3 linked regions of the Lepisosteus oculatus genome follow. The protein of the gene in region 2 interacts with the protein of the main gene of each other region in a pairwise test. Links are inferred from orthologs where the notes say so. Each region holds a gene or a part of one and is shown on either strand. Other genes may lie near its edges.

Region 1 (8,154 bases), on a different chromosome or scaffold from region 2:
TCCGTGTTCACAGGCTGGTGGTTTTAAGTTGTTTAAACGCACTGGCTAAACTGCACCTCCTGCACATTAATGAAGATCTAATCCAAAAGCTTGTAATCAGGTCAACTGAGGGCTCAGTCATTTAACTGATGCGCACGTAACGAGCCGGCCTGCTCCTCCAGGGCAGCCTGAGCCACAGACTGGGCCTGCTGTGGAGGAACGAGCCGGCCTGCTCCTGCAGGGCACCCTGAGCCACAGACTGGGCCTGCTGCGGAGTAACGAACCGGCCTGCTCCTCCAGGGCACCCTGAGCCACAGACTGGGCCTGCTGTGGAGTAACGAATCGGCCTGCTCCTGCAGGGCACCCTGAGCCACAGACTGGGCCTGCTGTGGAGTAACGAACCGGCCTGCTCCTCCAGGGCAGCTTGAGCCACAGACTGGGCCTGCTGTGGAGTAACGAACCGGCCTGCTCCTACAGGCTGCCTGAGCCACAGACTGGCCTGCTCCTCCTAGCTATGATCCCAGGAGCTGTGTTACTCATGTACTTTGCCCGATGGGTGACAGTTACAGAGTACTGACTGAAATCGCCAGCAGACTTGGCCTCACTAGCTGCCCAAGAGTCTCAAAGAGTTGAGCACATCAGCTCCTACAACCTCAGCCTTGAGGGAGATTCTTCAGGACTGTTTTGATCTAGAACATAAATGTCACAATCAAAGGAGCCACTTGGCCCATCAGGCCAGCTTGGTAGTTAGTAGTTAGCTGATCCCAGGATCTCATGCAGCTCCTTCTTCAAAGCAACCAGAGCATCAGCTTCAACAACATGGCAGGGCAACACTCCTCCCTCTGTGTATAGACGGCCGCCTGTCCTTTACTTTCAGTGCACTTCCTCACAGGCTCCACTTGTGTCCTCTGGTTCATGTTTCACTGTTAATTCTGAAGAAATGATCTGGGTTGACTTTTGTCTAAAAATGTTCAATGCTTGTATCAGGTCTCCTCACAGTCGTCTCTGCTCAAGACTAAAGAGACTCAGTTCCTTCAGTCTGTCAGTGCAGGACGGTCCTTTAATATTTGTACAGGTATCAGTCTCCTCACAGTCTTCTCTGCTCAAGACTAAAGAGACTCAGTTCCTTCAGTCTGTCAGTGCAGGATGGTCCTTTAATATTTGTACAGGTATCAGTCTCCTCACAGTCTTCTCTGCTCAAGACTAAAGAGACTCAGTTCCTTCAGTCTGTCAGTGCAGGACAGTCCTTTAATATTTGTATCAAGTTCTTTCCCCGTGCTACCAGAACCCAGGACCTGCAGGCCTGCACAGCCTCACTGTCCTACCAGAACCCAAGGCTGTGGGCCTGGACTGCCTCACAGTGCACAGGCACACACTATCTCACCACCGGCAGCTGCACCCTGTACAAACAGCACACTAACCAGACCAGGCTACTGGAAACCCCGGTTCTCTAATGACTAAGAATTACCGTTCTAATTAGCAACGGGCTAGTGGGCTGAAACTGAACAGGAGCTGTAATGGCAGGCCTGTACTGAGGAAGTGCAGACGCAGGGGAACTCGGACTGCCCCAGCGCAGGGCAGGGCCTCTTCTACAGCCAGCCACAGCGGAAGACTTTACTGCACGGCACTCTCTAACCGCAGGGCTCGGGTTCGAGCACCGTAACACACAGACTGCAGCTCAACCAGCAGGACAGTCAGGGACATGCCTGGAGCTGGGCTCTGCAGTGGAGACGCTGGCCCTCTGGGCTTTAACGAGTGCCAGTCCCCTGTGCTGCCCCTGGGCACAGCGGTGCCACCCTGCCGTGACCCCTGACAGGGGCTGGGCTGACCCCAGGGAACAGGGGCACCAAGAAATCCCACTGAGACAAGAGGGGCAAAGGAGCACTGTGAGAACACAGGCATGGTGTCAGCACTGTGAAACAGCCCCACACACACACTGTGACCCTGAAACAGGCACCAGGAGCCCCCCCACACACACTGTGACCCTGAAACAGGCACCAGAAGCCCCCCCACACACACTGTGACCCTGAAACAGGCACCGGGAGCCCCACACACCCTCTGTACTGTGACCCTGAAACAGGAACCAGGAGCCCCCCCACACACACACTGTGACCCTGAAACAGGCACCAGGAGCCCCATACAGTGTTCATTGACACTGGTCATCTTAGCAGAGCTCGACTTTAACCCAACGCTTCAATTCGCTGTCTTTTGCGACAGCGCTGCGAGGTGACTAGATACTGAAAGCCAGCCATTTTCACGAACACCTAAACATTACAGGAAACACGCGCACAGCGCTCTCCAGGCACCCACGGAGCCCTGAAACTCGTCCCACGAACGTCTGGGATGATTGCTCGTGCACACGGTAGGAAAAAAAAAAACAGTGCCGTCGGTAAAACACTTTCAGACCAAAGGCGCTGTTATTTTTTCCATCTGCTGTGGAAAGGGACTCCACTCGTCTCCTGCGCGATTTCTTGAGAACTCGCAGCGAGAACTGCAGGGGGGGGGAGGGCAGAGGCTCCGGTCTGACCTGGGGCAGGAGCGCTTTGCCGCTCACCGCGCCGCGCAGAAAACGACAGATTCTCCGCCGCTCTCCCGCAGCGCCGCGGCGGGCGTGAGATTCGCCGGACAGCCTCGCCGGAGCCTCGGTGCATCGTGCCTCCCCAGCCCGGTGGGCGTCTGGCTCGGTCTCGCACCAGGGCTCTCCGACAAAATCCAGCAGAGACACAGCCGGACCCCCGTCTTAGAAATTAATGAGGACCTGCCGGTACACGAGTGGACACCCCAACGCGCCAACCCCACGCTAAAGCTGCACCTCCGGAGCTCCGACAGTCAGAGGTCACCCCGAGGACAAACTCGCGCTGCCCAGGTGGGCGCTCTGTCCACCTCCTGCCCGCTGCAGGATGGGATTTCAAACACCTCTCCCAACTGCCCCCCCCCGCGCAGGACACCGGGGGCCCGAGGAAGAGGGGGGGACAGGTAACCGAGGCTGAGAGGGGGGTGAGACAGAGAGACGGGCAAGGGTGGAAGGAGACGGAGAGAGGGGCAGAAAGAAGACGGTACTTACCAGTTTACCTGGGAATAGCACACAGACATGAATTCACACCTGCGGATGGGGCGAAAGAACACGGTGATGGGAGAAATGACTTCTCAGCTCGCTGCTGTCCTGATATACGTCCACGGCTGTGAGGAACTACAGCCCGGCACTGCCGGTGACGCACAACATCAGCGAAAACAGAAAGTTACAATAACAACAAAAAAGAAAGTCCCCTTGCTGCTGACGTCCCCTATACCTCCACTTCCTAATACTGCTCTCAGCGTCTGAACCGCTGACAGGCGGCTGCCTCGGTTTATATAGTGGGGGGCGTGTCCTTCTCCTGCAGCCACTCCCGTCGCAGCCAGGGCCTGAAATTCTTCAATGGCAACACTCGCGCCGAGCGCCGGCTCGCGCACCGCCTCTGACCAATCACGGGCGAGCAGATCCCGATTCATTGAGGAAAAAAAAAGCGCTTGACAGCCACAGGCAGGCACTGCGACACGCGCGCCACACCCGCGCTGAGACACGGAGAGACACACACACACACGTACACATTATCCACACTGCCCGCAACAGATCTGGAGACACAGCAATGCGCACAGTCACGGCATGCAAGACAGAGGTCCGATTACCGTTCTCACACTGCTACACAATGAGACGGTGCAACACCAGCGTTACGTTGTGATGTGCCACTGAAGTCACAAAGGTATTAATTACTGCGAGATGCGGCTGGGGATCAGGGAGAGAGGAAGTTATTTTCTTTACCTTACCAGTGTGGATGCTCGGGCTGGCCCATCCCTAGACCTCCTCCAGTTCCTTTTTGGCCTGTCCTGGATCCCAGTTCACAGGAGGACTCAGCCACAGTCCAGGATCGCTGGTGTCCTTCTGCCAAGGCCAGTCCAGCTCTCCTGTGATTGTTTTGCGGTCCTCAAGGCAACATTTCCACCTGGAGGGCTCTCTGTCAGGGAAAACCTGCGCCTCTGTGCTCCTTGATTTCACTTCTAATTCATCTTCTCCCGATCTCTGCTCCTGCTGGGCCTGCAGTCCCCTGAAATACTCTCGTGAGTTGGGCTTGTCTGTAGCTTTTAAATGACTTCCCTCCCTATCACATCAGTTCAATAATAATAATTATTATCAACCCAAACTGCCTGACATACAGGAGGGGACCCAGTTCACCCCCCACACAGCAGCCATTCCGTATCAGCTGCCCCACCAGGGTCACAAACACACAATGGAGGGTCAGTGTGTCTGCGGGGTGTCCAGTCCTGGAGGGTCAGTGTGTCTGCGGGTGTCCAGTCCTGGTCCTGGAGGGTCAGTGTGTCTGCAGGGTGTCCAGTCCTGGTCCTGGAGGGTCAGTGTGTCTGCAGGGTGTCCAGTCCTGGAGGGTCAGTGTGTCAGCAGGGTGTCCAGTCCTGCAGGGTCAGTGTGTCTGCAGGGTGTCCAGTCCTGGTCCTGGAAGGTCAGTGTGTCTGCAGGGTGTCCGGTCCTGGTCCTGGAAGGTCAGTGTGTCTGCAGGGTGTCCAGTCCTGGAAGGTCAGTGTGTCTGCAGGGTGTCCAGTCCTGGTCCTGGAGGGTCAGTGTGTCTGTAGGGTGTCCAGTCCTGGAGGGTCAGTGTGTCTGCAGGGTGTCCAGTCCTGGTCCTGGAGGGTCAGTGTGTCTGCAGGGTGTCCAGTCCTGCAGGGTCAGTGTGTCTGCAGGGTGTCCAGTCCTGGGGGGTCACTGTGCCTGCAGGGTGTCCAGTCCTGGTCCTGGAGGGTCAGTGTGTCTGCAGGGTGTCCAGTCCTGGAGGGTCAGTGTGTCTGCAGGGTGTCCAGTCCTGGTCCTGGAAGGTCAGTGTGTCTGCAGGGTGTCCAGTCCTGGTCCTGGAAGGTCAGTGTGTCTGCAGGGTGTCCAGTCCTGGTCCCGGAAGGTCAGTGTGTCTGCAGGGTGTCCAGTCCTGGAGGGTCAGTGTGTCTGCAGGGTGTCCAGTCCTGGAGGGTCAGTGTGTCTGTAGGGTGTCCAGTCCTGGAGGGTCAGTGTGTCTGCAGGGTGTCCAGTCCTGGAGGGTCAGTGTGTCTGCAGGTGTCCAGTCCTGGTCCTGGGGGGTCAGTATGTCTGCACGGTGTCCAGTCCTTGTCCTGGAGGGTCAGTGTGTCTGCAGGGTGTCCAGTCCTGGAGGGTCAGTGTGTCTGCAGGGTGTCCAGTCCTGGTCCTGGAGGGTCAGTGTGTCTGCAGGGTGTCCAGTCCTGGTCCTGGGGGGTCAGTGTGTCTGCAGGGTGTCCAGTTCTGGTTCTGGAGGAGTCTCTTCAAAGCAACACCAGAACAGCTGGTCAGCAAATACACCTGCCGTCCGGTACTGTAGTGGACACCGTGCTCCACTCGGGACTCCATGATCTGTCACTTGGCTGGGTGGGAATCACAGGACCCCCTCAGTGGCACTCAGGAGCTGCTGGTGTGGTTCTCTAGTGCTTGAAGTAATCTTCACGCCTGAACGTGCACTGCAGGTCTCCTGCACGTCTTTCCTCAGAGGCAGGAGGTGTGTTGAGGCCCAAGGAAGCCGGCTGTCAGCATCCCAGATGTTAATCCAGAAGAGTAAGGTTTGTGGCCGCCAATTTTGTAGTTTTGATTCCAACACAGTTCTCAAAGGCTGAATGGAACCACATGCTGGGTTAATACTCTCTTCTGTGGACATCTATAGAACCAGGAGTAGAGGTCAAGAACTCTGTACTGTAGATCTTGGATATGGTACCTCTGGTTTCTTACACTTTACTGCCCTCACGTGGAAAGGAGGGGATAACAGCAAGGATGCAGAAGCCATGGATGGGAAAGCTGAGACACAAATATGTAACAAACTCCCACAAGAGATCTTTCAGGAAGTCTACAGTTCTGTTACAATAGGAGCTACAGTCCCAGTACAGTAGAACAGTTCTGTTACAATAGGAGCTACAGTCCCAGTACAGTAGAACAGTCCTGTTACAATAGGAGCTACAGTCCCAGTGCAGTAGATCAGTCCTGTTACAATAGGAGCTACAGTCCCAGTACAGTAGATCAGTCCTGTTACAATAGGAGCTACAGTCCCAGTGCAGTAGATCAGTCCTGTTACAATAGGAGCTACAGTCCCAGTACAGTAGATCAGTCCTGTTACAATAGGAGCTACAGTCCCAGTGCAGTAGATCAGTCCTGTTACAATAGGGGCTACAGTCCCAGTGCAGTAGAACAGTCCTGTTACAATAGGAGCTACAGTCCCAGTGCAGTAGAACAGTCCTGTTACAATAGGAGCTACAGTCCCAGTACAGTAGAACAGTCCTGTTACAATAGGGGCTACAGTCCCAGTACAGTAGATCAGTCCTGTTACAATAGGAGCTACAGTCCCAGTACAGTAGAACAGTCCTGTTACAATAGGAGCTACAGTCCCAGTGCAGTAGAACAGTCCTGTTACAATAGGGTCTACAGTACCAGTACAGTAGAACAGTCCTGTTACAGTGGGAACTACAGTCCCAGTACAATACAACAGTCCTGTTACAATAGGAGCTACAGTCCCAGTACAGTAGAACAGTCTGTTACAATATGGGCTACAGTCCCAGTACAGTAGAACAGTCCTGTTACAATAGGGGCTACAGTACCAGTACAGTAGAACAGTCTTGTTACAGTGGGAACTACAGTCCCAGTACAATACATCAGTCCTGTTACAATAGGAGCTACAGTCCCAGTGCAGTAGATCAGTCCTGTTACAATAGGGGCTACAGTCCCAGTGCAGTAGAACAGTCCTGTTACAATAGGAGCTACAGTCCCAGTGCAGTAGAACAGTTCTGTTACAATAGGGACTACAGTCCCAGTACAGTAGAACAGTCCTGTTACAATAGGGGTTACAGTCCCAGTACAATAGAACAGTCCTGTTACAGTGTTATAGAAGTTTATAGAAGAAGAAAAGATTGAGAGTTTTGAAAGAAAATGGCTAGTATCATTCAGTGAATGCATAATTGAATCAAGAGAAAATTACATTTAATACAACTAATTGAACTTTGTACTGCTTATGTAGAGGTGTCTGTCTCCCTCTGCTGGAGATTCCTTAATTTTACAGCTAGAGAAGAGTAATTACAAATTCATCTCCAAAGGAGTGCTCAAAATACACTGGAAACAGTTCAGAGTCACAGCCTCACAGAGAACTGGTCAGTGCTCACTGGACATAGTGCAGACTCACAGAGCTCCAGTATAGTGGTCAGTACATACTTGACACACAGCACAGTCCCAGAGCTCCAGAGGATTGGTCAGTGCTCACTGGACATAGTGCAGAGTCACAGAGCTCCAGTGTAGTGGTCAGTACATACTGGACACACAGCACAGTCCCAGAGCTCCAGAGGATTGGTCAGTGCTCACTGGACATAGTGCAGAGTCACAGAGCTCCAGTGTAGTGGTCAGCACATACTGGACACACAGCACAGTCCCAGAGCTCCGGAGGATTGGTCAGTGCTCACTGGACATAGTGCAGAGTCACAGAGGTCCAGTATAGTGGTCAGTACATACTGGACACACAGCACAGTCCCAGAGCTCCAGAGGATTGGTCAGTGCTCACTGGACCCTATGCCAGACTGTGTGGAGGAAGTTTAAATTTCACATGATAATCTCTTCTTTGACACAACAAACCTCGATTTTGCAGCAGAAGACAGAATTATAATTGATCTCTGATGGAGTGACCCTGTAGCACACTTCTCACACTGTGCCTAGGACAGCATTGGCCAGTGTGAAGTGTACCCCGTTTCTCTAAGGTCTGGCTTCCTTCTGGAACACCATAACTCCAGATTGTCAGTCAGCGCCCAGCCCTGACAGTACTGCTCCAGAAGGTCTGTGGGCGACAGCAGGACCAGGGCATCCTCATAGAGCAGGAACTTGATCTTTGTGTCATGCAGTATGAGACCAGGAGCTGCAGACTGTTCCATCATCTCAGTTAATGAGATACTGTAGATACTGTAGATATTGAAAAGGGTTGTTACTGATATTGATATCAACAGATATGGAACCCCACCCCCTGAGTGGAGAGCTCTCTTCTCTTGTATCCAATCTTCTCTGTGCCCTGTGCGTCTCTCATCGCCCTCGTGCCCTGTCCACCCTCCAGCAGTGAGGCCCGGTGTGGGCGGGGTCTCTCGGCTGCAGTGTTTGGGCTG
Region 2 (8,348 bases):
AGAGAGCAGCTTCGGCAGGCCAGGCTCAACCTGGGAGCTGGGAGCTGGGAGCTGCAGGGTGACATAGCTGCTGCCATGTTGCACACTGTTTGTTGGCAATAAACAAGAAAAAATCATTCTCGTAATAAAGGATTTACAATTGAGTATGGTGTATGTGCAATTATTTGTGTAATAACAGAGTCAGGACGCTGGCAATGCGCCTCTGTAAGGCTGTGTACAATGTCTCTTCGCTTGTAGCAGATCCTTTTTCTAAACGTTCACAGACGACACTGGTCAGGGACATGTCTCTTTTACCAGAGTAAACCACCTGCCAAGCACAAAGGCTCTGATGCTATTTTGCAGGCCTGCTTCAGAGCCATTACAAAGGAAAGTCATGGTGTGCACTTAATGTATTGATTTTAATATGTTATTTTAATACAGTCAATACATTTCTCACAAATTCCATTCCCTTTGGCACGACGAGACTTCCTCGTCCCCCGCAGAGGACGGGTTCGGAACCTGAGACCCACACTGGGGCAGATGCAAGCCCCTGTCTTTGGGGGGATGGGTCGGTCGCGGGGAGCAGGTGAGGCCCCTGTCAAGCCAGGGTTTCAATCCGGCTGACCCTGGGGTGACCAGCGCGATCCCTCAGCTTCTACTCCTCCTCTGGAGTCTGGATTCGCCGGCGAGAAACAGGCTGAACAAAGGCAGCCCTGCGTGTCTTTTGATAGGGGTGTCAATGTGCTGCCAGGCTGGCTGCTCTGTTCCCAAGACCTCCAGGGTTGTAGGAGGGCAGTTTATTTTCGGGCTGGGCCGGGGAATTCCCCTCCGCCGCCAGACGTCTGTTTTTATTTCCCTCTCAGCCTTTTACTCCTTCATGCTCCGCTGCCACAGAGCAGGAGGCCAAAACAAAGGGAAACTCTCTCCAAGAGTCTAAAGGAAGTTAGGCGAGAGACAAGCCGAAGTTCACAGCTTCTACCACCAGGGGGTGCTCTGCACACATGCCTCTTCGGCCTCTTGAGGAACGAGGCTGGTGCGGCTCATGGGAGGGCGATGTCCGTGACAGCTCTGCCTGGGCCCCCGACAGCAGGAGAGGTCAGGGGCAGGTCGATCTGTCACTTCCCTCTCACGTCAGCACCTCGCCAGCTCCAAGGGGCAATCCGACTGAGACTCGGAGCCCGTGAGCCTGCCTGCCTGCATCCTTACCTCATCACATGCAACTTTCAAGTAATGTCCAGTTATCTATCATGCCCACATACAGGCCTTCAATACCCTGGTACAGTTTTAAGAGCTTTTTAAGCTTTTGGCAAGAATCTAATCCAATTTAATAGCCTCATACAAGCTACAGTCATTTAGTAAAATGTTTAAGATAAGATCACTTTTTTCACCCTATACAGTTTTTTGTATTAGGAATTTGTCTTTTCGCATACTCCAGCTTGCTCTCCATGAGACACACAGACAGGGAGAGAAGCTTGGGGTCGGAGCACAGCCATTTATACAGCACCCCTAGAGCAGTTGGGGTTAAGGGCCTCGCTCGGGGGCCCAACGGAGTAGGATTCCTCCACTGGTCACAGGATTCGAACCAGCAACCTTCCAGCCACAGGCACAGCTCCTCAGCCACAGAGCCACCGCACTGCCCTGCTTCCGCACTTTGTGGACTTGAACCCAGACCATCAGCGACTGCAGATTTGAACCCAGAGCCCAGTGACCACAGACCAGCGCGCTAGATCAGATCATTTGTGTTCCTTCTTCTTGTGGGTCGGTTCTTGGTGAATTTGTTTTTGCTCAGAATGGATGGAGATTTAAGTTTTGTGCAGGAACAGAAAAGGTTGTGAAGCCCCTCTGTGTGCCCAGCTGTTGTGAAGCCCCTCTGTGTGCCCAGCTGTTTAATAGCCCCTCTGTGTTCCTTCTTTCACTCTGAAGAAAAGCGTCCAGTTCCACCAGGACAGGGCGCTGTTGACTTGTGCAGTTCCATGGTTCCACCGCACACACGCCGACCCGACGCACGATCACGAGCCCAGCACAGCGGGAGGCCTTACCTTCCCCGAAGTTCTGGTCGTAGATGCGGCAGGGAGACGCCATCTCGTACTCCACACTCATGGGGTACGCGTGAGGAACGGTGCGCTCCGACATCCCAGCGAGCTGCGAGGGCACGGCGGCTCAGTTCCTCGCGGAAACGACTGGCAGGGTCTGCAGAGAGAGTCGGGGAGAGAGAGAGTGACTGTGTGCCTGTGTTTGCATGGGGCTGATAAAGAGGCCAGAAATAGCCCGGTCACAGACACTCCAAAGGAGACATCATAACTACAAATAAATCCAGAGACAAATACGCCACTGGGATCTCTGATGGATCAGTTTAAAATGGCCCACAGGGACAGGCCAGTCCTGCCTGGACAGACCGGCTGGCAGGGCTCTTGTCTGCGATTCCGAGACGGGATATTACATCTCACCAAGAGCAGCCTGGGACGATTTATTTGAAGGATTAGAAATGCGTGGAATAATTTTGCACTTACTGCAGTACGTCACGACTGGGAGAAGCACTGCAGGCCACAGTGGGACCTGGCTTTGTGTGGAGCTGTGGGAACTGTGATGATGTTACCAGCCTGGTACTGTCAGCACTCTGCTGAATACGGCCCTTCGAACGACAAGGTTGCGAGTGGAATGAAAAGCTGAACCCTCCCGGTAGAGAAAGTGTAAGGAAATACATCTCCCCCCATTCCTGGACCTAAGAATAAGCCCACAGCTCTCAGAGGATATTATATATCACCTAGCTGACCCTGCGGGGTCCGCGGGTGGAGCCCCACACTGCCGCGGACGTCCGAGAGGACGCCGAACTCCAGCCTGTCTCCAGCCGACACCGCCTGTCTCTGCCCTGTTTACAAGACGGCTATTGAGCTCTGCCCCAGGCCTTGCCAAGTCTGGCATCGCCCTGGGGCAGGGGGGAAGTCGAGCGGCTGATTAACAGGCTGCTCTTCTGATGTTTCTCTGGGTGAGGGCGGGGGGGCGACGCCTTTTGTGCACAGCGGAGCAAAGTCACGACAGCAGCAGTTTGCCTCTGCGTGATTCATTTACATGAAAAGTTCAAAGTGAAAGCTGTGTCTTTCTCATATGCATATGATATGAACTGTGCAATATTTCTTTATGTGTATCATACCTGTTGTGAGTATTGACCTGCCCAGGGCTGCACTCCTGTCTTCTGTGGTTCCTGTACATATCAAGTGTGATGTCAGTGCTGGGGCCCCTCCTGGTGATGGAGTGTACTTATTTTGGGCACTACAGGGTGTCCAGGGGTCTAGGCAAGAGTTCTGTCAGGTCCAGGAAGCTCTAGGAGGCTAGTGAATGTGTACAGTATCACAGCAGCTCGTATCTTCTGAAGGAGAAGGCCTTAGAAGTGCAGGGGTGTCAGACTCAGTGACTAAATGATGTCACCAGGTGTAGGCACGTTAACAATAGCGACAATGATCAGGTCAAATCCCACTTCTTTCATGGTTGGATGATAATTCTCTTGACTACAGCAGGTCCCAGGTGAAGGAAGTCCCGAGTGCTTTTTTGTTCATTTTGAATTCTGTTTGCCTTTCCTAGAATAATGTGGCGGGGCTCTTACAGTGATTGTGGCTCTGACTGACACACCAGGGGATGCTAACAGTCCAGCATTCTGGGAGCTGAGTGTTTGGTGATCCGTCAACAGGCCCCTGCAGGTCTCCAGAACTCCACAGAGCTCTACAGTGTTGTTATTGCTGCTCTGCTGATGGCTGCTACTGCTGTTAGCAGCTGTTGCGGGCTGAAGTGGCCTACTGTCCAGTCTACACATCCAGAGAGGTGTTAACATAAGTATTGGCCGAAATATTGTCCAAAATCTGAGCAGGGGGTTCAGAATGGAATAGAGGTGCTTAGTTCCCTTCTTCATGGGAACCAGGGACGAAACAATTTAAAGTAGCCAATCAAGCTCAAGCACGGGGGGGCATGCAGACTCCACACAGACTGATTCCCTAAAGTTGGACACAAACCCGACTCGAGATCTGTGAGGCCACAGTGCCACCCGCTAGTAGATCCTCTTACCCTCCATTGATGCCCTAATAAAAGTGCATTGTGGTTGACTGTGGTGACAGTACAGAGTAGTGAAGTACAGTACAGCTACTGTGCAGCATTAGGTGGTGCTTATCAAAGCATATCCACAGGCACGTACTCTATAGGGAAGATCAGAAATGTCTCGCAAATTTGCTGTTGTAGAATTTCTCAAGTATGAGAGGTAGCTGTGAAAAGCACTCATCACCATACTGTGAAGAACAGCTTTGATAGAGAGTTTAATACCTGCACACATAAAGGACATCTTGAGTGGAGAAGCTGACTAAATAAATGAATGAAGGACCTGCAAAGGCTGGTGCTGTGTCCTGGAGCAGAGGCAGCCTGCGCTGGGCTGCCAGGGGTGGTTTATCCCGGGGCTTGACTCTGCACACAGGGTGCCCTGCCTGCGCCTGGGCAAACACACCCACCAGAGCCTTTGATCCGGCCTGGAGCCTCCCTGGACAAACAGGAGTCAGGGCAGGCGGGGGAGAGGGGCACCGGAGCGCGGCGGAAATAATCCCACCGGCACGCGGGGCAGCCGGAGGAAGAGAGGCCAAGCCCGAGGAGTGCGCGCCAAAAACCGAAACCCGTCTGACAGACGAGCCGGGTCCTGGCGCTGGCCGTGCAGGCACACACAGAAAACCGCGCACCAGCACAAAAGGAGACTTTCCAGCGCTGCGCGCACGGGGGCATCAGCACTATTTAAAATCCCCCAGAACAATCGCAGGGCCGCTTGCCTGAATGAAATCGGACTGCCAGTAATCACGTAAACACACACGGACTGGCACTTGCAGGGGGAGAGGGCGAGCGGGGGAGACGGTTTACATCACCGTTCCAGAAAGTTCAAGAGGAGGGTGGCAGGCTGGCACAGGCTGGTGGGGCGGCTATATAAGTGAGCTGAGGGCCAGAGGCACAGCAGGAGCGGCACGGCAGCAGCAGGCACAGAGTGCGCCCAGCCCAGCCAGCATGGACATCGCCATCCAGCGCCCCTGGTTTCGCCGCCCCCTCTTCTCCTCGTTGTTCCCCGTCCGGATCTTTGAGCAGAACTTCGGGGAGCACATCCCAGAGAGCGAGCTGCTCGCCCCCTTCCCCCTGATGTACTGGCCCCGGGCCTCCTTCCGCGGTGCCAGCTGGATGGACGGCGGCCTGTCAGAGGTGAGGGCCGGGCCTGTTGCGGGTTGACCGTCGACTAACCTTCCAGAGCCAAAGCTCCAGAATTCTCCAGAAGACAAAAGAGACAATCTCTGACTTTTCACAGGTTTGCTGCAGGACCTATAGCTTCTTTCCTACAGAGGAATGTTTTCAAAACTAGCTGTGAAAACCTTAATATTTTGCTAAGTCTTTACTAAACTAAACCGTTGCACGTATGACATATTGAGACCAAGGGCTTGTGGGATATGGAGACCAAGGCTTGAAATCCTTGAGGTGGGAGAGAAAAGGCTTGGAAGGGGGTGTTTTTGTCTGTGAGAGCAGGATGGCCAGGAATGTGACAGCAGGGAAGAGCGCAGCAGATATTGAGACGTCGTATCCACAGCGTCACCAGCACTAGGATCAAGCGCAGTGAAACAGGAGCTGCTGCTCTGCTGTGGGGGGCTGGGTGCTGGCGTTGACGTGGGCACTGAAGTCAGGGAGGAAACGGTGGGGTGTCTCTGGCTCTCTCACACATGAGTCCTGGGGCTCAGTGTCCTGACCTGCTCCGATTCCTGGGGATCCCGTGATGAGGTTCCCTCTGTGTCACGCGAGTCCCTCCCTACTGTGGCAACATTTTCTTGGTAGCATGTTAAAACTTTATTCCTCATAAAACGATCACCAGCTCAAATACCTGAGCCCTGTTAGTTTAAGACAAAAAACCCTGTAGTTTGATGAAACACTCACTCGACAAAGAAAGTGACTCCAACAGTTCGGACATGAAACCAGTACAGCACAGATGATGTGAGCTGTTCCTTTAAGTCCGTCGGCGGGCGCGTGCACATGTTGGCCTCTGAATGTTTAGAATTGCTTCCCGCTGCCTGCAGCCAGCTCAGCCCAGCACCATGCCCTCTGTGTTCGCTGCGAGGTGTCACAATGTGACCCATGGGAGGAATCTCAGAGCGCAGTGCAAACTGCCCACTCCCCCACTCAGCTGACTCCCAGGGTCAGAGCTGCTCTTTCAGACTGCAGAGCGCTCGTCTGTAACCTTCAGCCGCCTAGAAAACCAGCCCTAAAATACCTCTTGGAATTAACCTGCTAAAGCTGGAATTGGTCACACTTAAGAGGCGCTTTGTCAGCTTGTGGCTCTAAGAGAAAGAAACAGATACCTGTATGAATCCTTCTGTTTAATAATGAGGCACACCTGATGGCTCAATGCCCTGCCCTGTGACGGGGATGCTGACCTGTGTGCATGTGAGCAGCCCAGGCTGCACAGGTGTGTTTTTGTGTGCTGACCCTGCTTCCTCCTGGCCGGCAGATGCGTCTGGACAAGGACAGGTTCGCAATCCACCTGGACGTCAAGCACTTCTCCCCCGAGGAGCTGTCCGTCAAGGTCAACGGCGACTTCATCGAGATCCGTGGGAAGCACGAGGACCGCCAGGTAGGGGAACACCCTCCCTCCCTGCCTCTCCATCCCCCTTTTCTCCTGCCTCCTCCCGGCTCCTGCCCTGTCTCCCTGGCCCTCCCCTCTCCACTCTCTCTTTCTCTGCTCCCCTCCTGCAGTCTCCCGGGGTCCAGCCTGCCCTCCAGCGTGCCTTGTGTCTTTCCCTTCGGCAGGATGAGCACGGCTATGTGTCTCGGGAGTTCCACAGGAAGTACAGGATCCCAGGAGGGGTCGAGCCGGGCTCCATCACCTCCTCGCTGTCCGCCGATGGCGTGCTGACGATCAGCGCCACGCGCAACCTGTCCGAAGTGGCCGAGCGCACCATCCCCATCACCCGCGACGACAAGCCCGCTGGGGCTGCGCCGCAGAAGAAGTAGACTTCCTTCTCCCCCGCCCCTTCGCCCTCCCTGGCTCCTCGCCACTGCCACCCCACCACCACCGCCCCGTCTTCCTCGACCCCGGCACCCGCTGAGCCACGGGAAGTGAAGAGAGCCCCCCCCTGCATTTACAGGCAGGGGATAGGACCCCACTCATCCTCCATTACTCAGAAAGGGTGGGCTCATGGAATTCGCTGCTACATCAGGGCCTCTGTCCTCCTAGCTTGCTGAGTAAAATCAAACACGCTGCAGAACAGCTGAATGAGCAAGGGAAGGAGCAGACAAAGGCACACTGAGTGCAGGGCCCTGGTGCAGCTGGACCAGTCAGTCCCTTGAGGAAGGGGGAAAAGGTCCACAGAGTGACAGACGAGCCTCTGTGAAGTCAGCTACTGATCGTGCCTCAAAGACACAAAAACAGTTCAAGGAAGTAGGACAATCTTAGGGAACTTGTGCGTGTAGAAACGCCATGCCCTTAAGTGGGCAGGGTTTATGTGCAGAAGCGAGCCCCGTGACAGAGCACAGGAGCGCTCCAGAGCAGTTTGTAGCTGGAGCTGTGGGGACCATTGCCTCTCTGAGAGTGTGAACCAGATCCTGTGTTCTTGTACAGTCAGGTACCTTGTACCTGAAGGGCAGTTACACTGCAGGGGTGTTGGCAAATCCCAGTCAAGAACGCAGGTATCGGCTTCAGGAAAATCCCCGCTCCACCCAGCTCAAAGGCTGAGGCATTAGGTTTACCGCAGCAGTTGTCTGGAAAATGGTTGCTGAATTTTTTACTTACAGACTTGAAAAAGACCAAAGGAGTGACTGAATAAGTAGTCTGACTTCACAGAGGAGTTAATGACAGGTTCTCTGATAAAATTCTCTTGTTTTTGTATATACTGAAAAGCATTTAAAGTGCAACAAAACACTATTGATTCCAAAACTCATTTGATGCATTTTTAATGCCTCCCTGTATATATTAAAGCACTTTGCTGTAAGTGTAACGCACCTGCCTTCAGTGTGTTTTGACGCTGCTCACATGGCAGTGGTCAAGAGGGAAGTGGGTGTTTTCCCAGTAGAAGCCAGGCCTCTGGTTTGGACACTGGCCCAGATGCACTCTGTGATAACCACAAGGTATACACAGAGGTGTCGCAGCTGCGTGTATTGGTGACTGGGACACAGAAGGCACTTAAAACAAGGCCACTTGAGGCAGAAAACAGCCAATGAGACAAGAACATGATATCAAAACTTTTATTGTAGAATGGGCCCACAAAATCTGGAAAAGTAGAAGCAGAAAGGAAACCAGATGGGAACAACAGCATATCTTCCAGTGATGTAAAGAAGTGCACAACTTATCCCTTGCAGGGGCTCAGTTGTAG
Region 3 (7,518 bases), on a different chromosome or scaffold from region 2:
TGTCTCCATGTGTCTGTGTGTCTCTGTGTGTCTGTGTCTCTGTATGTTTGTGTCTCTGTATGTTTGTGTCTCTGTGTGTCTGTGTCTCTGTGTCTCTGTGTGTTATTTCAATTCGATTCAATTCAAGGTGATTTGTTAACATGACCGATGGATACAATCAGTGTTGCCAAAGCAAATAAAAATAATAAAATTAACACAAAACAAAACAAAAAATAAAAGTAAAATTAAATCTACAGATTTTGTCTGCATGTGTGTATGTGTCTCCGTGTGTCTGTGGTCTCTGTATGTCTCTGTGTCTGTGTATCTGTGTGTCTCTGTGTGTCTGTGTAGCTGAGTGTCTGTGTGTTTGTGTGTCTGTGTATCTGTGTGTCTGTGGTCTCTGTGTTTCTGTGTTTCTGTATGTCTGTGTGTCTCTGTTTGTATCTCTGTGTGCCTGTGTGTCTCTGTGTCTCCATGTGTCTCTGTGTGTCTGTGTCTGTGTGCCTGTGTGTCTGTGGTCTCTGTGTGTCTCTGTGTAACTGTGGTCTATACATGTCTGTGGTCTCTGTGTCTCTGTGCGTCTGTGGTCTCTGTGTCTCTGTGTGTCTGTGTGTCTGTGTCTGTGTCTCTGTGTGTGTCTGTGGTCTCTGTGTGTCTCTGTGTAACTGTGGTCTATACATGTCTGTGGTCTCTGTGTCTCTGTGCGTCTGTGGTCTCTGTGTCTCTGTGTGTCTGTGTGTCTGTGTCTGTGTCTCTGTGTGTGTCTGTGTCTCTGTGTGTCTGTGTATGTGTGCCTGTGTGTGTGTGGTCTCTGTCTCTGTGTGTCTCTGTGTGTCCTTGTGTCTCTGTGTGTGGGTGTTTCTGCCTCTCTGTGTCTCTGTGTCTGTGTGTCTGTGGTCTCTGTGTGTCTCCATGTAACTGTGGTCTCTGTGTCTCTGTGTGTCTGTGTGTCTGTGCATCTGTGTCTCTTTGTGTCTCTTTGTGCCTCTTTGTGTCTGTGTGTCTGTGAGTCTGTGTGTCTGTGCGTCTGTGTGTCTGTGTGTCTCCATGTGTCTTTGTGTCTCTTTGTGTCTGTGTGTCTCTGTGATTCTCTGTGTGTTTGTGCATCTGCTTGTTTGAGACTCACGTTCCGCTCTGCACTCGGACAGAGGAGACCTTCTCTTGGTATCCATGAGCATGGAAGCTGGGAACGTCGTCATCTACAATTTCGATTTTCTTGCCAGAGAAGTTGGGGTTCTCGTACAGAACGATCTTGTGCTCCTGGCTGTCCTGAGAAGGGGAGGCAGGGAAAGAGGGAAGCAGTGAGGAGAGACAAACATGGCGGCAGACCGAGCAGCAGCAGACAGAGGCACGGGGCGGCGTACCACTTTGATGGGCCGGAATGCTGCGATGCTGTCGCTACGGCGACTGTTGGTCCAGGAGTCCCAGCGAGGATACTCCCCCTTCTCAAACACAAACTGCTCCCCCTTGCAATTGGGCTGCTCGTAGCCCACCCAGCTGGGAAGAGAGATAGAGTGGAGAGGAGCAGCTTAATGCACATTCTCCCCTCTCCCCTTCGCTGCCAGTCCCCTTCCCTTCGCTGCCAGTCCCTCCCCCTTCCCCCACTCACGGTCCAGACTGAACAAGGATGGACCCCACTTTCTCCACTCCTCCCTCCCTCAGGCTGGGGCACGGGCCGGTCAGCTCGTGGCAGCGGCCCTGGAAGTTCTCCTGCTCAAAGATGACAAGCTGGGGGAGAGGACAGAGGCAAAGAGACAAACTGTGAATCATTCTGACCAAATGGGCAGAAAAACATGTACAAGCAAGAGGGCAAGTCTGTCTGTGTAACTCAATAGTCCCATGATCACATCCATGTGACTCTTTAATGAAGCCAGGTTTTGGAGGTATCTTGTTCCTGACTCCCACAACCCTTCGTGTAAAGGTGTGGCTCCTGTTCTCAGATTTAAATGCACTTTCATGTCATTTCCACTGGTGCCCTCTGGCTCATGTTTCACTGTTTATTCAGAAGAAGTTCACTAGGTTGACTTTGTTGCTGCCTTTGAAGATTTGCCTCAGGTCTCCTCACAGTCATCTCTCTTCAAGAATGAAGAGACTCAGTTCCTTCAGCCTGTCAGTGTGGGACACTGACACACCCTTTAGACTAAAGAGACTCAGTTCCTTCAGCCTCTCAGTGTGGGACACTCCCTTCAGACTAAAGAGACTCAGAGCCTCACAAATGCCTGACGGGGGCTCAAAGGGCACCCTGGTGCCTGAGAATCGTTACTTCTCATTGTGCAGATGACACCCCCTGCCTGAGATGGCAGCTCCACACAGAGGACTGCCTTTCTCAGGCCCAGGGGCACTTCAGAGTGGACTCCACATGACCTTGGGGCAGCCTGCGGCCCACACTGACTCCTGCTCACCTTGAAGGCAGTGCTGCCAGGCTGCTGCTGTTTGGATGCTGGAGTCTGGTGGTCTGTAGCCATGGTTACAGTGATGTGGAGCTGTGATGTCTGTGAGCAGAGAGAAATGAAGCTAGAGATCATCTACTGTACACACTGACACCTGGAAAGTATCTACTGTACACACTGACACCTGGAAAGTATCTACTGTACATGCTGTACACCTGGATTCTATATACTGTACACACTGCACACCTGGAAAGTATCTACTGTACACACTGACACCTGGAAAGTATCTACTGTACACCTGGATTCTATATACTGTACACACTGCACACCTGGAAAGTATCTACTGTATACACTGACACCTGGAAAGTATCTACTGTACATGCTGTACACCTGGATTCTATATACTGTACACACTGCACACCTGGAAAGTATCTACTGTATACACTGACACCTGGAGTGTATCTAGTGTACACACTGACACCTGGATTCTATACAGTATACTGTACACACTGACACCTGGAGAGTATCTACTGTACACACTGACACCTGGAGTGTATCTAGCTTACACATTGACACCTGGAGTCTATATACTGTACACACTGCACACCTGGAGAGTATCTACTGTTCACACTGACACCTGGAGTCTATATACTGTACACACTGACACCTGGAGAGTATCTACTGTACACACTGACACCTGGAGAGTATCTACTGTACACCTAACAAAGCAACTGATTGAGAAGCAACGAGACTACAGTAAGCAGAAGATATGAGACAGGAGACAGGGAGAGAGGAGACAGAGAGCAGAGACGAGAGACAGGGAGACATGGAGAGAGGAGACAGCGATACCCTTACCAGTACTTGAGTGAGCCAGTGCAGTGCGGACAGTGAACACAGCCCCTTTATACCCCTGGGCAGGAGAGCTGTGCCAGAAACCTCCCTACCTGACTGCCCCCACCATCACACCCGGATTGAGGCAGATTAAAGCTCAATGGGCCCGGTGGTCAGATGACCTGGGGGAGCATTGTCTGCCCTCAGCAGGACAGCCAGGGCTGTGCTTTGTTGTATGTTTGGATGATTCAGCCCGCGACATGCCAAGAGCGCAGCCAGCACCCAGGAACAAAGGGCTCGCTGGGCACAGCACACTGCACTGGCACCAGAGGCAGCAGGGCGATGGGGAGGGGAGAGAGAAGGGGGTGAGAGGGAAGAGGATTGGTCACATCTAAAAAACAGCGACCAAAATTCCTTCCACCACAAGGCCCTGCTGAGCCAAGAGCTGAGCCCAACAAAGAGCCCTCTGAGCCAGCTGGTCCTGAGGCTCACTGACCTGAGCCACACTGACACCAGCCAGCCTCAGGACAGCACTGCTAGAGCACCACAACTCAGACTCAACCACATCACAGCACAGATCAAACAGCAATATCTCACACACTGGGACACACACACAAACACAACATAAACTGGAATGCCTTAAATCCTAAACAGACAATACACACTAGCCACATTTTTAGCAAAAAGAAACAGACCCTGACGAAGTACAGGCTCAGTGACCACAGCCTGGCCATAGAAACTGGGCGACACAGGCAGACCTGGCTGCCCAGAGAGCACAGGCTGTGCTCCCACTACCAGAGGGGAGAAACAGAGACAAAGAAGCACTACCTGCGACAAATGTTCTGGGATTAGACAAACATTCTTCCCAAAATTGACAAATCTAATCCCAGAATTCCCAAACCTGCCAGAATCAGAACAGTTCCCAATCCTAGTAGGAGAGAGAGGGGTTGAATTGTCAGCCCAGTGTGTGATCTCCTGTCACAGCCTGAGGAATAGACAATGAGCATGTCTCTCAATAATAATAATAAAAATACAGTGTGTGATCTCCTGTCCCAACCTGAGGAATAGTGAGCCTGTCTTTCAATAATAAAACGGTGTGTGATCTCCTGTCCCAGCCTGAGGAACAGGCAGTGAGCCTGTCTCTCAATAATAATACAGTGTGTAATCTCCTGTCACAGCCTGAGAAACAGACACTGAGCCTGTCTCGCAATAATAATACTGTGTGTGATCTCCTGTCCCAACCTGAGGAACAGACAGTGAGCCTGTCTCTCAATAATAATACAGTGTGTAATCTCCTGTCACAGCCTGAGAAACAGACACTGAGCCTGTCTCGCAATAATAATACTGTGTGTGATCTCCTGTCCCAACCTGAGGAACAGACAGTGAGCCTGTCTCTCAATAATAATAATACAGTGTGTGATCTCCTGTCACAGCCTGAGGAACAGACAGTGAGCCTGTCTGGAAATAATGTTTTATGTTGTAAAAGCCTAATAACAATGTTTTGTCGTGAATGTATGTAAATGTTCTGCTAACTGTTAGTGCTTCATTGGCACTGTATCTCATCAGTCAGGCCAGTAAGTCCCTGTTAAGTGGAGACAGAGGGAATCTCTCAAGTCTCAGTTTCTCTCTTGGAGAAATCAAGCCTAGAAATGATGTCTTCAGGTAGGAGATGTACAGACAGGTTGATGTCTGATCCTGTCATTGGTTTGGAATTTATACTGTGAAGAGATGAGAGACCGCCATCTAATGGTCTACTGGTTTACGTGCACTTCAGCACACAACGCAACTTCCTTTCTCTCCTGCACAGTCTGACCGGTGTGAACAGCTGACCGGCACAGAACTGCCCAGTCCAGTCTGACCTGTGTGAACAGCTGACCGGCATAGCACTACCCAGTCTCGTCAGACTGAGCTCCCGGAAGTGACTGGTCCAGCCCTGATCCTGACCCTGACGCTACTCCTGGGGTTTGACCAGAGGAGGTTGTCCAGTGATTCTGGAAGACCTGGTCCTACTAATATCCTGCCTTCAGAAGGGTTTCAACCACTGTACGTCTGCTAAAGTAACAAAGGAATCACCAAGTGTGTCTCTTTTAGAGGTGTCCTTTGGGGGTCCCAGGACAGTAAGCTAAAGTGAGGTGCGCCCCTGGGGGAGCCTGGCGGGATGAAGGCTCCGTGGTGCCGCTGAGCAGAAGTCCTGGAAGTCCTCTCAAGAGAGGGTGTGGTAATTAAGAGGTCAGGTAGGAGCTCACAGTACAAAGCCAGCAGTGGACACACAGGGGGAAGGAGCGGGGCAAGCGTCACTGCAGAGCAGCGAGATCCTGTCTTAAACCAGCTGTGAGACACACCCCTGACCTCTGACCCCTGACCTCCGCCCTACGCTCCACACCGGGAACACATCCCTTGGGAGGCTTGAACCTCTGCAGGACTGCTGGGCCTCGACCCTGTTGACGGCCCTCGCGGTGCATCCCGCTGGGGCGGCTGCCCTCTGCTCTGCAGGTAACATTCCCAGAAGCACAGCACTGCTCTCCTCCAACCCCAGGGCCTTTATTATTAATAGCTTAATTAATTAATTCAACTGATTATTGTTTGGTTCGTCAAATAAATTACTAAATTGAAGGAGTATGGCCCCTCTTTCATCACAGTAGGTGAGGAAAAGTGAAATCCCAGTGAAACAACAGTGAAATCCCAGTATGGCACAGTGAAATCCAGTGAGTTTATGGTGAAGCACAGTGAATTCACGGTACAGTTGAATGGAATCCTGTGAGATTATAGTGAGGCACAGTGAAATCTCGGTAAATCACAGTGTTTTCTGAAGGATAGTTGCTGTGTTGATTGTACAATGTATCCTCTTACTGGGAGGCCAGAGCAGGCCCAGACATATACATGGTGGCTGGAATGAACTCAGGCATGAGGCATATGCTGGGTTAAGAGTATCTTTATTGCCAGTTTGTCTCACTCGCACACAGTCACCTGTGCATGCGCCGTTTCTTGGCGCAGCGAGGGAGGGGGGTGGGGGTGAGACTGGCGTGGGAGGTGGGCTCTGGTCTCCTTCAGCTGCTGCTGGGAGCCGTGGGGGGGGCGGGCATGGCTGGCAGGGTGAAGCAGCCCTTCTTGTGCCACTGCATGTCGCGCACGCGGCGCACAGACTGGATCTGCGGCAGCGCGGCCTCCCAGTCGTTCCAGTGCTTGTATTCGCCATGCTGGAACACGAACTGGCGCCCCCTGTAGCCCGGGTACATGTAGGCCACCCACCTGCAGGAATGAAAAGGTTCATTAGACCTCCTATTTGGCCTTCTAGATATCAAAGGAGACAGAAGTCGAAGAGGTCAGTCAGACAGCATGAGAGCAGAGTGAGAGGCCAGCGAAGACACTGCAGCATCGAGTGTCGAGGAGCCAACACAACACTCACCCGGACTGTGGGGTACAGGGAGTGCAGTGTAGAAGGGTACAGTGGGGTACAGTATAGAGGGGTAGAGTGCAGTACAGGGAGTGCAGTTTAGAGGGGTAGTGTGGGGTACAGGGGAGTACAGTGTAGAGGGATACAGTGGGGTACACTATAGAAGGTTACAGTGGGGTACAGGGAGTGCAGTGCAGAGGGGTACAGTGGAGTACAGCGCACAGGGGTAGTAGGGTACAGGGAGTGCAGTGCAGAGAGGTATAGTGGGATACAGGAGAGTACAGTGTAGAGGTACAGCGGAGTGTAGAGGGGTACAGGGGAGTACAGGGAGTGCAATGTAGAGGGGTACAGTGGGGTAAGGGGGAGTACAGTGGAGAGGAGTACAGTGGGTTACAGGGGAGTACAGTGCAGAGGGGTACAGTGGGGTATAGTGTAGTTGGGGAGGTCCCAAAGGGAGAACAGGGTTCACAAGCAGGGGTACAGGATGAGGTGCAGCAGGATGGAGACAGACGGACAGGTGACTCAGGGGGTACAGTGGGGTGGGCCTTACGTTCCATTGAGTGCCTTCACACTGGCAACGCGGTCCTGGAACCCGTGCGCCCACAGGCTGGGCACGTCATCGTCCACGATCTCCATCTTGCGCCCAGCAAAGCCAGCGTTCTCGAACAGGAGGAGCTTGTGCTCTGCGCTGTCCTGGTGGAGAGACACCCACATGCATCCTTCAATACTCACTGCCTGCTCTACACGCCTGCCTGTCTCTACCTGTGTGTCTGTGTGTGTATCTCTACCTGTGTGTGTTTATGTGTCTGTGTGTCTCTACCTGTGTGTGTCTGTCTGTGTGTGTCTCTACCTGTGTGTCTGTGTGTGTATCTCTACGTGTGTGTGTCTGTGTGTGTCTCTACCTGTGTGTCTGTGTGTGCATCT

What was found.
Region 1: the proteins of cryabb (region 2) and lbh interact in a two-hybrid assay, tested with the Homo sapiens proteins (2 studies listed by BioGRID, with this or other methods). The link is inferred for Lepisosteus oculatus from reciprocal best matches to the Homo sapiens genes CRYAB and LBH.
Region 3: the proteins of cryabb (region 2) and crybb2 interact in a two-hybrid assay, tested with the Homo sapiens proteins (2 studies listed by BioGRID and IntAct). The link is inferred for Lepisosteus oculatus from reciprocal best matches to the Homo sapiens genes CRYAB and CRYBB2.

Annotation. Positions count from the first base shown.
Region 1 is NC_090697.1:29,447,355-29,455,508, reverse strand, and holds the start of lbh (protein LBH), read right to left. Parts: upstream 3,309-8,154; 5' UTR 3,073-3,308; coding exon 3,044-3,072; intron 1-3,043. UniProt on the Homo sapiens protein: Transcriptional activator which may act in mitogen-activated protein kinase signaling pathway.
Region 2 is NC_090718.1:15,357,941-15,366,288, forward strand, and holds the start of cryabb (crystallin, alpha B, b), read left to right. Parts: upstream 1-4,850; 5' UTR 4,851-5,007; coding exon 5,008-5,196; intron 5,197-6,487; coding exon 6,488-6,610; intron 6,611-6,786; coding exon 6,787-6,990; 3' UTR 6,991-8,348. Other genes in the region: hspb2 (heat shock protein beta-2), read right to left, coding at 2,019-2,112. UniProt on the Homo sapiens protein: May contribute to the transparency and refractive index of the lens. Has chaperone-like activity, preventing aggregation of various proteins under a wide range of stress conditions.
Region 3 is NC_090717.1:140,647-148,164, forward strand, and holds the start of crybb2 (beta-crystallin B2), read right to left. Parts: upstream 3,309-7,518; 5' UTR 3,225-3,308; intron 2,472-3,224; 5' UTR 2,445-2,471; coding exon 2,382-2,444; intron 1,708-2,381; coding exon 1,589-1,707; intron 1,477-1,588; coding exon 1,344-1,476; intron 1,249-1,343; coding exon 1,106-1,248; intron 1-1,105. Other genes in the region: crybb3 (beta-crystallin B3), read right to left, coding at 6,248-6,449, 7,145-7,287. UniProt on the Homo sapiens protein: Crystallins are the dominant structural components of the vertebrate eye lens.